Neodiprion lecontei: one gene and its partner. The protein of the gene in region 2 purifies or fractionates together with the protein of the main gene of each other region. This does not show direct contact. Links are inferred from orthologs where the notes say so. Each region holds a gene or a part of one and is shown on either strand. Other genes may lie near its edges. The genes, in order: coatomer subunit zeta-1 and coatomer subunit beta'.

Region 1 (4,053 bases), on a different chromosome or scaffold from region 2:
ATGGACATACCTATGTGTTACGGAAGTATCACAGACAACCGTGCACCGATAATGGTTCCACCTGTAGGCACACCGTTTCCAACGTCTCCACAAACTCGTTCTGTGCTTTGTCGGTAACTATTGATAGTAGCAACTGCAGGCTGCACGATGTGATTTAGTCATCCGGTCATCGAGCTTATACGCTCCTCCAATGCTCGGATGCGTGATTGGATGAAGAGGGTCCCAGTACACTCTGTTTCTCTCGCTCTGCGCTGTGATTGGCTGAATCGCGTTTCCCCATCCAATCACGGCACAGGACGAGAGAGAAAAAGTGTACCGGAATTTCCTTTATCCAGTCACGCGTCAAGTATTTCGTCATGTTAGGTGCCCGCAGCGCTCTGCTGGTGGCTGTGAGCCAGAATTTTAAAAAAGGCTAAATCTCTGATTCAAATTTGACTGAAACGAAAATAAATAATTGACGTAAACTCAGCTTTGCGATCACGTAAACTACAATGCATATTCGACTGAAAACCGGGGCGTCACATGGATGTAAAACTGAAAGTTTTTCCTCATTCAATTTCATGTGACGATACTTCATATAATCAATTTTAACGATTTATAATCATAGTCGTTGCTAGTTTATTCACATAGTTTATTCACATAGATCATGTAATATTTTTTTTTTTCACTCACGTCACGTGCTCAATTTTTTACTTTTTCTTAACATTAATTTTATAAAATTAAATTACTTCAATAACGACCATTTAAGTTGCTCTTTTGCTGACTGTATAACCTGTAAGATTAAAATGGTTAGATATTAATTACAGTCTAAAGACAAGTCACGATAGGATTACACTGAAAGATCGATATTTCATAATATAGGAAAAAGAGACATGGTAGAAAGTGAAGACTGAAATAAGGGGTATACATTCTCACCTGTGCTACCGTTTGCTCGCCAAGTGGAATGTCGTCTGTTCGCAGTGCTACCCGTGTCACTACGCTACTTGCGTCGGCATCCAAAATAATACTAAATAACAGAAATATCTTAATTTGTATGAGGAATAATTAACCATAAGTTGAGCTCGGATTCAATTCATATGGGTTTCGGAATTTTTTTTTATGTAGTGCAAACTAGCTTTACTAGTTCATACAAATATTTTTCAATCATCTGGAAATCCAATATCTCAGAAAACTTACCCATTATCGCAGATTTCATCCATAGCCAGCATCACAATATCCAGACTATCAAGCACTGCTCTCTTTTCAACATTCTTTCTCAAAATTTGACTTATGGAATCATATAAGCAATTCAGCACGCTCATAAGAATTAGCTGTAACGTGAAATGATTTAAAAATCTCTAATTATAGTTTAACAAAGAATTATTCACTGTCAAAGAAGCTAATGATAAATCCTGACCAGTTGGGTTAGTGAAAATCCTATTATTCGCCAACATGAGCAGCTAGAAGTAGATATTTGCATTGTTCATTTACAAAAAGATAAGAACAAAAGAAAACATGACAAACCTCGTTTTCACGAGAGCTGCCCATTACATAGAAGAATAGATCGACATTGCTCTTATAAACACACGTCAGACCATCCAGCATGATAATTTCTGTGTTAGCTCTGTGTGTCTTGTTGAAGAGATTTTTCTCAAAGGCTTTCTGCTCCTTTGAAGTTGGAAATACATTCTTGTCGTAATACTTTGCCAGTATTCTGTTGCCATCATTATCCAGTATCACCATACCCTTGACGGTGTATAGTGAGGGTTCCTGATAAAAAAAGACACGTCATTATAATAAGATTGTTCAACGAAAAGAATGGATTCATTGGAAAAAACAGATGAACCAATTAAATTTGACGAGTAACGTCATTCGAAATAAATTAAGTAGAAATTCTTAGGTTAGGTTAGGTTAGGTTGAGTCGAAGCGACACAGTCAAAAGCCGTCAAATATTCGACGACCGTACATAAGTGGTCAGGAATATGACAGAGAACCGTCAGCCCGTCGGATGATTGTTCGATCTTAAATAATAGGTTGGAAAAAGACATATTTAAATAGTAAACGTACCAGCAACTGATCGTCCATATTTTCGCGTAAAAGTCAACGGGCAACCGCTCTGTTTACGTGTCAATTTGCTCGATTCGGATTTCAGTTCCTGCGTTCCTTTGGTTATAATTTGCAGGCTACTGTCGATAAAAAGGGTCGTAGCATGTTTTGATCGGCATCCGTGATCTCGCAGAAAGTCGTAACCACAGTGTCGTAACTGATCGTGAACCGAATCCCGTTGCTTCGTGCTTCTACAGAATGTACAAACATGGCATCGGTAGCCGCATTCGGTCTTTATTTAGGAAACACCTCAGCCTGTTTGGCGATATTTAAGGTAAATTGTGACTGGATAATTTCTAGCATAACTGGATATTTTTTGACGGGCGGGAGGCGCATTTTCGTCTCATAATAACCAGTCAGTTCCAACCATTTTATCACTGGAAGATAACCGCATGTATGACACATGGACGCGCTGCCTCGTTCTAACCTAGCCAAAACGTCACATCAATAACCCTGATTCAATCAATTTTCACAGGATGACAACGTTGACGTCGTCGCAAACGAAGCCGGCGAGCGAGTCACCGCGGCTGTGGTCGCCTTCAACGAAACCGAAGAGGTGAAACTCTATTTTACGGCATATCTATAACATTTTTAGGTTAGGATCTGCTCTCGCATCCTTTCTTTCGCTAGTTTGCCTTGAATTATTCGCTCCCCTGCCACTAGTGTTTTATAAATTTATCCTATTGCAGCGTTGTAACGTCTATCCATTACAATTTTCAAGGTGATCGGCTTGGCGGCCAAGGCTGGACTCTTCAGGAATGGTCCGGTCTCTGTATTGAACAATAAGAGATTAATGAATAAAAACATTGACGAGACGGAGCTGGAGTTAGCAGTAAAGAGTAGCACCTGTAAAATAATAACAGAGAAAGACACAGTACAATATTTAATAAAGAGGAATGAAAGGATGGAGAAAATACTTCCCGTCGAAGTTGCAACTAGAATATTCGAGGTCATGTACAGTATTTCCACTACCGCAGCACATGATGACAATGAGCACAACGTCGTACTTTGCGTTCCGCTCAGATTCAGTTCTGCTAGCATTCAAATGTGGAGCAAATCTGCCTCCTCTGCTGGGTTCAGAGTTCTACAAGTTATTAGCGAACCTGCTGCTGCGTGTTTGGCCTATGGGATTGGTCAAGACAGAAAAGAGTCAGGGTTTGTAGTTATTTTCACAAGCCTGAAGGCTCGCTCCCAATTGTACAAGGACCTTGTTATCATTAATTTTATTTCACAGATACGTGCTAGTCTACAGAATAGGAGGTGTGAGCAGTGAGATCACATTGGTCAAAGTAGTCAGTGGCATATACCAGATTGTATCGACGTCGTACTACCACGATTTAGGTGGTAACAAGTTGACGAAAATTTTAGCTGAATATTTGGCAGGCGAGTTCATGAGTAAATGGAAATTGGATCCAATGGAGAGCAGGAGATCAATGTCAAAGTTGAATATAGCCGCAGAGACGTGTAAACATGTTTTGTCGACAATGTCGACAGCGCACTGTTTTGTAGAATCTTTGTGCGACGGAGTTGATTTTAGCTATAATATAACTAGAGCTCGTTTTGAGAACCTGATAAATTCAAACATATCGGAGTATATTGCACCCGTCGACAAAATATTAAAAGAAACAAAACTGGGCACAGATGATATAAGCAAGATTATACTCAGCGGAGGTACAATGAAGATTCCAAAACTTCAGGAGAAAATTGGCGCCCTTTTCTCTAACGGTGAAGTGTGCAGTGGAAAATGGAGCCCTGACGAATGTATGGCGATAGGTGCGGCTATGCAGTCAGCCCTTCTGCTTTCCCATGGAACATGGGATGAGAGTTTACAATCCACAAACATGGAAGTAAACGCCCTGCAGAAATCCCTTTACATACAAATCGAAGAACTCAAACCAATTATTATACCGGCAAAAACAGTCGTACCTATAAAGCTACAAACACGTGTAGAAGTACCTGAGGTCAAAG
Region 2 (4,986 bases):
CTGCGAGCTGTCGCCATTTCTGTTGACTACTAGCTTCTTTTGCTAAATCATGCGCCGTCCTAAGGTCACCTAGTGCCAAAGCCAATTCGAATCTATGCTCTGGATCCGTAGAGACTGCCAGCGCTTGTTCTTTGAAACCCTGTGAAAAAATTTTGGATTAAAGAAACTCGACTCTGCTGCTTCTTTTCGTTGTGCATAGTAATTGTGAATTAAGATTTCTGAGCTTGAGAAAAAACGAATGAGAGTATTACTTGTTTCTCCAAAAAGTGAGCCACTCTGGTGCGATGCTCTTTTGGTACAGTTGGCAGCACTCTGTCAGCGGTTTCAAAGTCTTTTCGCATAACTGCGGTTTGGTATTCCAGTACGGATAGCAAGAGAGAGTATGAAACCACGGAGAGTTCCTTGTCACATAGGTAAAGCCTGTTGTCTCGTGGAACATAACCCAACAGATACATCGGCCTGTCCAAATGTGATATGGTGACGACTTCGCCTCCGACAAAGTAATTGATTCGATTTACGCTGTTGGTGTAAATGAAGCAGTCGCCTACCCAGAGACCGGTTTTCACTGCCTCACTCATTTCCGCGACCATCTGAAAAGTTTGTATTCTCATTTAGATAAATTGACCATAATTACGGTACTTGGAACATCATTATAATTGGATATGATTAATGCTATTGTAGCATGAGGGTGAGGTATTGATTAAAAAACGTGTGAACTTACCTCGAATGCATCTTCGATATCTTCAGTGTTTTCTGGCAGATTATTAACAGCATCTGCATGGAATTTTAAAATAAAGTATTGATCGGCAGTCGCTAGCGCTACCAGTGATGCGTTCTCTGCCCAGTAGACGTGCGTCGGCTGAATGTCGATGCGGCGAATCAGCTTTAAGGAATCCCAATCAAAGAAGGAAAGACCAGAGCCGGAAGATACTCCCAGCATAAATCCACCAAAGATGCCTAAAACAATAGGAAATTGAACGTATAGGAGTAATTTTGGGATTATTCAAAGTATATAGTCGTTTATTTTACTCGAGGTCAGTGAGATTACGAAAAATCTATCCATAGCTGATTCAAGGCGAAAACTTACCATCGGCCCCAAAATCGGGTTTGAAGCTTTTTCTTTCTTTGAAATTCTTGAAGATTTTCACAGAGCTTGTTCCTTCTCTAACAGCATACTGACTCGAATCAGCAGCCCATACAAATTCCGATGCCTGTCCGAAAGCCTTGTTTCTCAGAGCCATCGAAGTGTAAATAATGTATTCACCATCCCCGCAAACAACCAAAAATCTCCCATTTGGATTGTGTTGTATAGTTTGCGGGTAAATTTCGCACGCTCCCATATCTTTGACAGCCAACGGAAGCCGCTCTCCATCCTGGGCCTCTTCTCCCAGTGCTTTTAGGTTTACTTGTTGCACCTCGCTATGTCTTGCCCATACAATTTTCCCGCCCAAAGAATCCATTGAAACGGCAGGCTCTTCTCTACCGACTTTGACCATTACGCTACCCTCGTCATACCCTAAGGCGACGTTGTTAGATCCCCGCATGCAGGAAATCGTCCAAACTCTTTCAAAGCCGTAGTTAAGTGACGACTCTAGCCTGTATGTACCAGCATGCCAAATTCTAACTGTCCCATCTTCTGAACCGGTCAAAACAATCGGCAGCTCTGGGTGAAAGCACACTGCAGATATATTCTGTGTGTGTCCTTCAAGGGTTTGGACGCAGGTTTTATTTTGGTAATCCCATATCTTGACGTACTTATCGTCAGCTCCGGAAATAAGGTAAGGCTTGTCACCTCCGTGATAATAATCTACGCAGTTCACACCCTTCTCATGTCCGTCGAGGGTGAAATTGGCTGTCGATGAACCGAGCTGCCAGACTTTTACCGTGCGATCCAGAGATGCGCTGGCAAATGTGTTGTTGTCCTTTGGATTGAACACAATTTGCATGACATAGTGGGTATGGCCCTCGAAGACCTGCTGGCCGAGCCAAGCTTTGTCCCAGTTCCATAATTTTATCAGCATGTCGTCTGTAGTTAAATATAATAAGGTTATTTTGAACATTCAATGATTTCATCTACATAGACTTCATTAGTCAGTTTAAGTGACATAAAAAACTTGATGAAATAATACAAACCACTGCTGGTAAGGATGAACGGTTGGGTGGGATGAACTGCGATGGATCTGACATAATCGCTGTGTGCTTCGAACGCATGAACACGTTCCAATGTGTTGTAGTTAAAAACTCTAACTTGCATATCATCAGAGCCAGTGACGACCCAATTTTTTCTTGCAACAAACTTTGCTGTTCTGACAGGTAGGTCGCAGACTTCGAAAGTCTTTGCCAAAGTCTGTGACTCGTGATTCCAGATGTTGACATTTCCCTGGTATAACGAACACAGCATCCATGGCTCAGATGGATGAAGATCGACACTCTTTACTCTGTCTGATCTCGCCGTCAGCTTGCGTTTAATGTCTAGTCGCAGCGGCTACAATTGAAGAAGTTACATTACAAAAAAACGAATGACGCCGGTATTTGAAAAACGGCTGGTATGGCATCGAACACAAATTTTTGCAGCTTTCAAGCGTCAAGAGGTCGTACAGGGGATTTATTCTTAATCATTAGATAGGTGAAATTTGGTGAATTCCGTACTTGAGATTTGTTTTTGTTTTGGGAGTGTTTATCATAAATTGAAGAAAGATTTTGAAATCGTTTTGCAGGTGCGAAAATATATTCAGTTGAAATTTATAGCGGAAAAGCTGTCAGAAAGGTTTGACGTGTGAAGTGCAGAAAAGATTGCGGTGAGGGGTTTGTCAAATGATAATCGGCTAGCATTGGTTCGACGGCTTATAAATACATTTTATAGATACAAACTGAACCATTATTGAACTTACCATGTTTGATGATTGTTGTAATTGTTTCGGTCTTTAGAACAGGGATTAAAATGTCAAATGAAATATACTTATTGTAAACCTAAACACGAAGCCGCTGCCATGAAGTTAGGACGTGGCTCGAACATGGCGCATCATGTAGCAGACGGTTTTACTTTCTGATGAAATGATACAGATTATTCGATAAGATCAAAACGGTTTCCAAGCATCCACAGGAGTGAAAACTGTGATTTTTATTCACCATTTACAATATTGACGAAATGTAATCTTCATTTGCGTACGTTGCTCAGTTAGAGGGAATTATACGTGACATCGAGTGCCGTCGTGGCCTTGCGCGTGCGGCTATATCGAAAATATCGAATCATATCGAGTTTAGGTGGATTTGCTGTGTCGATTTTTTCAGCATCGATTGGGACTCGAACGGCTCACTTCACACCAGTCACAGTGCGCACAAGGGCAGCCTACTCCGCTTATGATCCGCTTGCTTCAAGGCTCTGTCGCACTTTGCTATGGTAACACAGATTTCTGCCTATATATAGAAGTCTGTGTATGGTAAGAATATACTCTGTCACTCAGTGCTTTCGCGACGCCAACTACGGTAGAAGTATGGGTGGATAACCGACCTGCACTTGCCGTGCAAGTCATCTGGAAAATGAATTTCAAAAATCTATTTTACGTCAAAGGGCGTAGCAAATGAGGCATACGCGAGTGAAACTGGTTTACGTACTCACTCAGGATTCTCTTTGCGCGGATGATTTTTGTCGGCTAGTAAAGACTACGAGATTGTAATTCTAATATTCAGTTGCCATTTTAATCGGATTGTCACGACAAATTTGACGGATTCTTATCAGGCAGGCCTACATTACCAACACTAACAATTTTGATTTTGAATCTCGAGAGTAGCAAATTGTTATGATGAATGGCATGCTCCGCATTAACGACTGTTTTTCCGATGGTAAGTAAGCGTTAGCTATCTGATATGCGCCAATCATCAGAAATGCTTTCAGCTAATACGAAAAACCGGTATATAGCAGTAGTCGGTAGACAAATTTATTGAACGCCAGATTGCTGGCAACTCAACATACGTTAATACGTATACTTTGCATATGTCTTGGAGTATCTACCGGCAGTTTCTATCACTTTGGTAGTTAGACGACATTATCTATTTTCGCTTGATTGTAAGACAATTAGAAAAAAAGCCAATAAGAAATCGCACAAATTACAAAAGAATTTTAACGCCCGTAGTTTTGTAGTATAAACGGATACGGAAAATGGTCGTCATTTTTGCGAACGTACATATATGTCTACAATCTAGAAATACAGAATCATATCCACCGAATTTCCCGCACAGCCTGAAATTTAAAGGATGAGGATATGCCTCGTGAGATGCGATTCGATTTTCAGCAATATCAAAAAAGTTTGAACCAGTTATGAATTTAAGATTGTTATTTTGATGATTAATTTTTTAAAATCAGTTCGGTATCCTTCGCAGTACGGGTGCATTGAAATCGTGATCGGACAATGATGATTAATGATCCGTTGTTACTTGATAAAAACTATTTATGTAAACTACTGGTTCGCAAATAGTTGCTTCATTCCTAGATCGAACAATCTCAAGATATGCAAAAAAATACGGCTAGAGTGGAAAATCACGTCTTTCACACAGAATACACATAAATATTTTTATGTTGTAAGCATTAGAGGTTCTCGCTATGTTTTTGCGATTTGTCAAATTATTTTTACAAAACTGACCAACGAATACGTTTGATGTCAAGGCATATCGATGTGTCGTTGAAGCATTGCCAACATTTTCAAAAATAATATTTTCCAGTATCGACACAAAACATGTTTGAAAAAATTTCTACCGTTAGATTTCGAAGCGGATATTTTAAGCGGGATTAAATGATTTCAAAGCACCAAATTGGCGGTAACGCGAAATTGAGTGAAAAAAGTTATGCAGTTTCTCTTACTGCATCAGTGCTCAGGTATTTATGTTAAAAAATGGGAAATTTGATCGGAGATGAGTCTTTCATTCTCGAGGGATTTCGAAACGCTTAACCGATCACATCCCGATCAGGTGCCTCAGGCTAAACAACGA

The links.
Region 1: the proteins of coatomer subunit beta' (region 2) and coatomer subunit zeta-1 fractionate together in Homo sapiens (co-fractionation; 6 studies listed by BioGRID and IntAct, with this or other methods). This does not show direct contact. The link is inferred for Neodiprion lecontei from reciprocal best matches to the Homo sapiens genes COPB2 and COPZ1.

Annotation. Positions count from the first base shown.
Region 1 is NC_060264.1:32,063,584-32,067,636, reverse strand, and holds coatomer subunit zeta-1, read right to left. Parts: upstream 2,182-4,053; 5' UTR 2,065-2,181; coding exon 2,047-2,064; intron 1,750-2,046; coding exon 1,504-1,749; intron 1,311-1,503; coding exon 1,177-1,310; intron 1,007-1,176; coding exon 916-1,006; intron 773-915; coding exon 725-772; 3' UTR 595-724; downstream 1-594. Other genes in the region: heat shock 70 kDa protein 14, read left to right, coding at 2,294-2,359, 2,561-2,641, 2,807-3,240, 3,320-4,053. UniProt on the Homo sapiens protein: The coatomer is a cytosolic protein complex that binds to dilysine motifs and reversibly associates with Golgi non-clathrin-coated vesicles, which further mediate biosynthetic protein transport from the ER, via the Golgi up to the trans Golgi network.
Region 2 is NC_060263.1:41,043,852-41,048,837, forward strand, and holds the start of coatomer subunit beta', read right to left. Parts: upstream 3,236-4,986; 5' UTR 2,895-3,235; coding exon 2,892-2,894; intron 2,486-2,891; coding exon 2,134-2,485; intron 2,027-2,133; coding exon 1,088-2,026; intron 958-1,087; coding exon 722-957; intron 591-721; coding exon 252-590; intron 140-251; coding exon 1-139. UniProt on the Homo sapiens protein: The coatomer is a cytosolic protein complex that binds to dilysine motifs and reversibly associates with Golgi non-clathrin-coated vesicles, which further mediate biosynthetic protein transport from the ER, via the Golgi up to the trans Golgi network.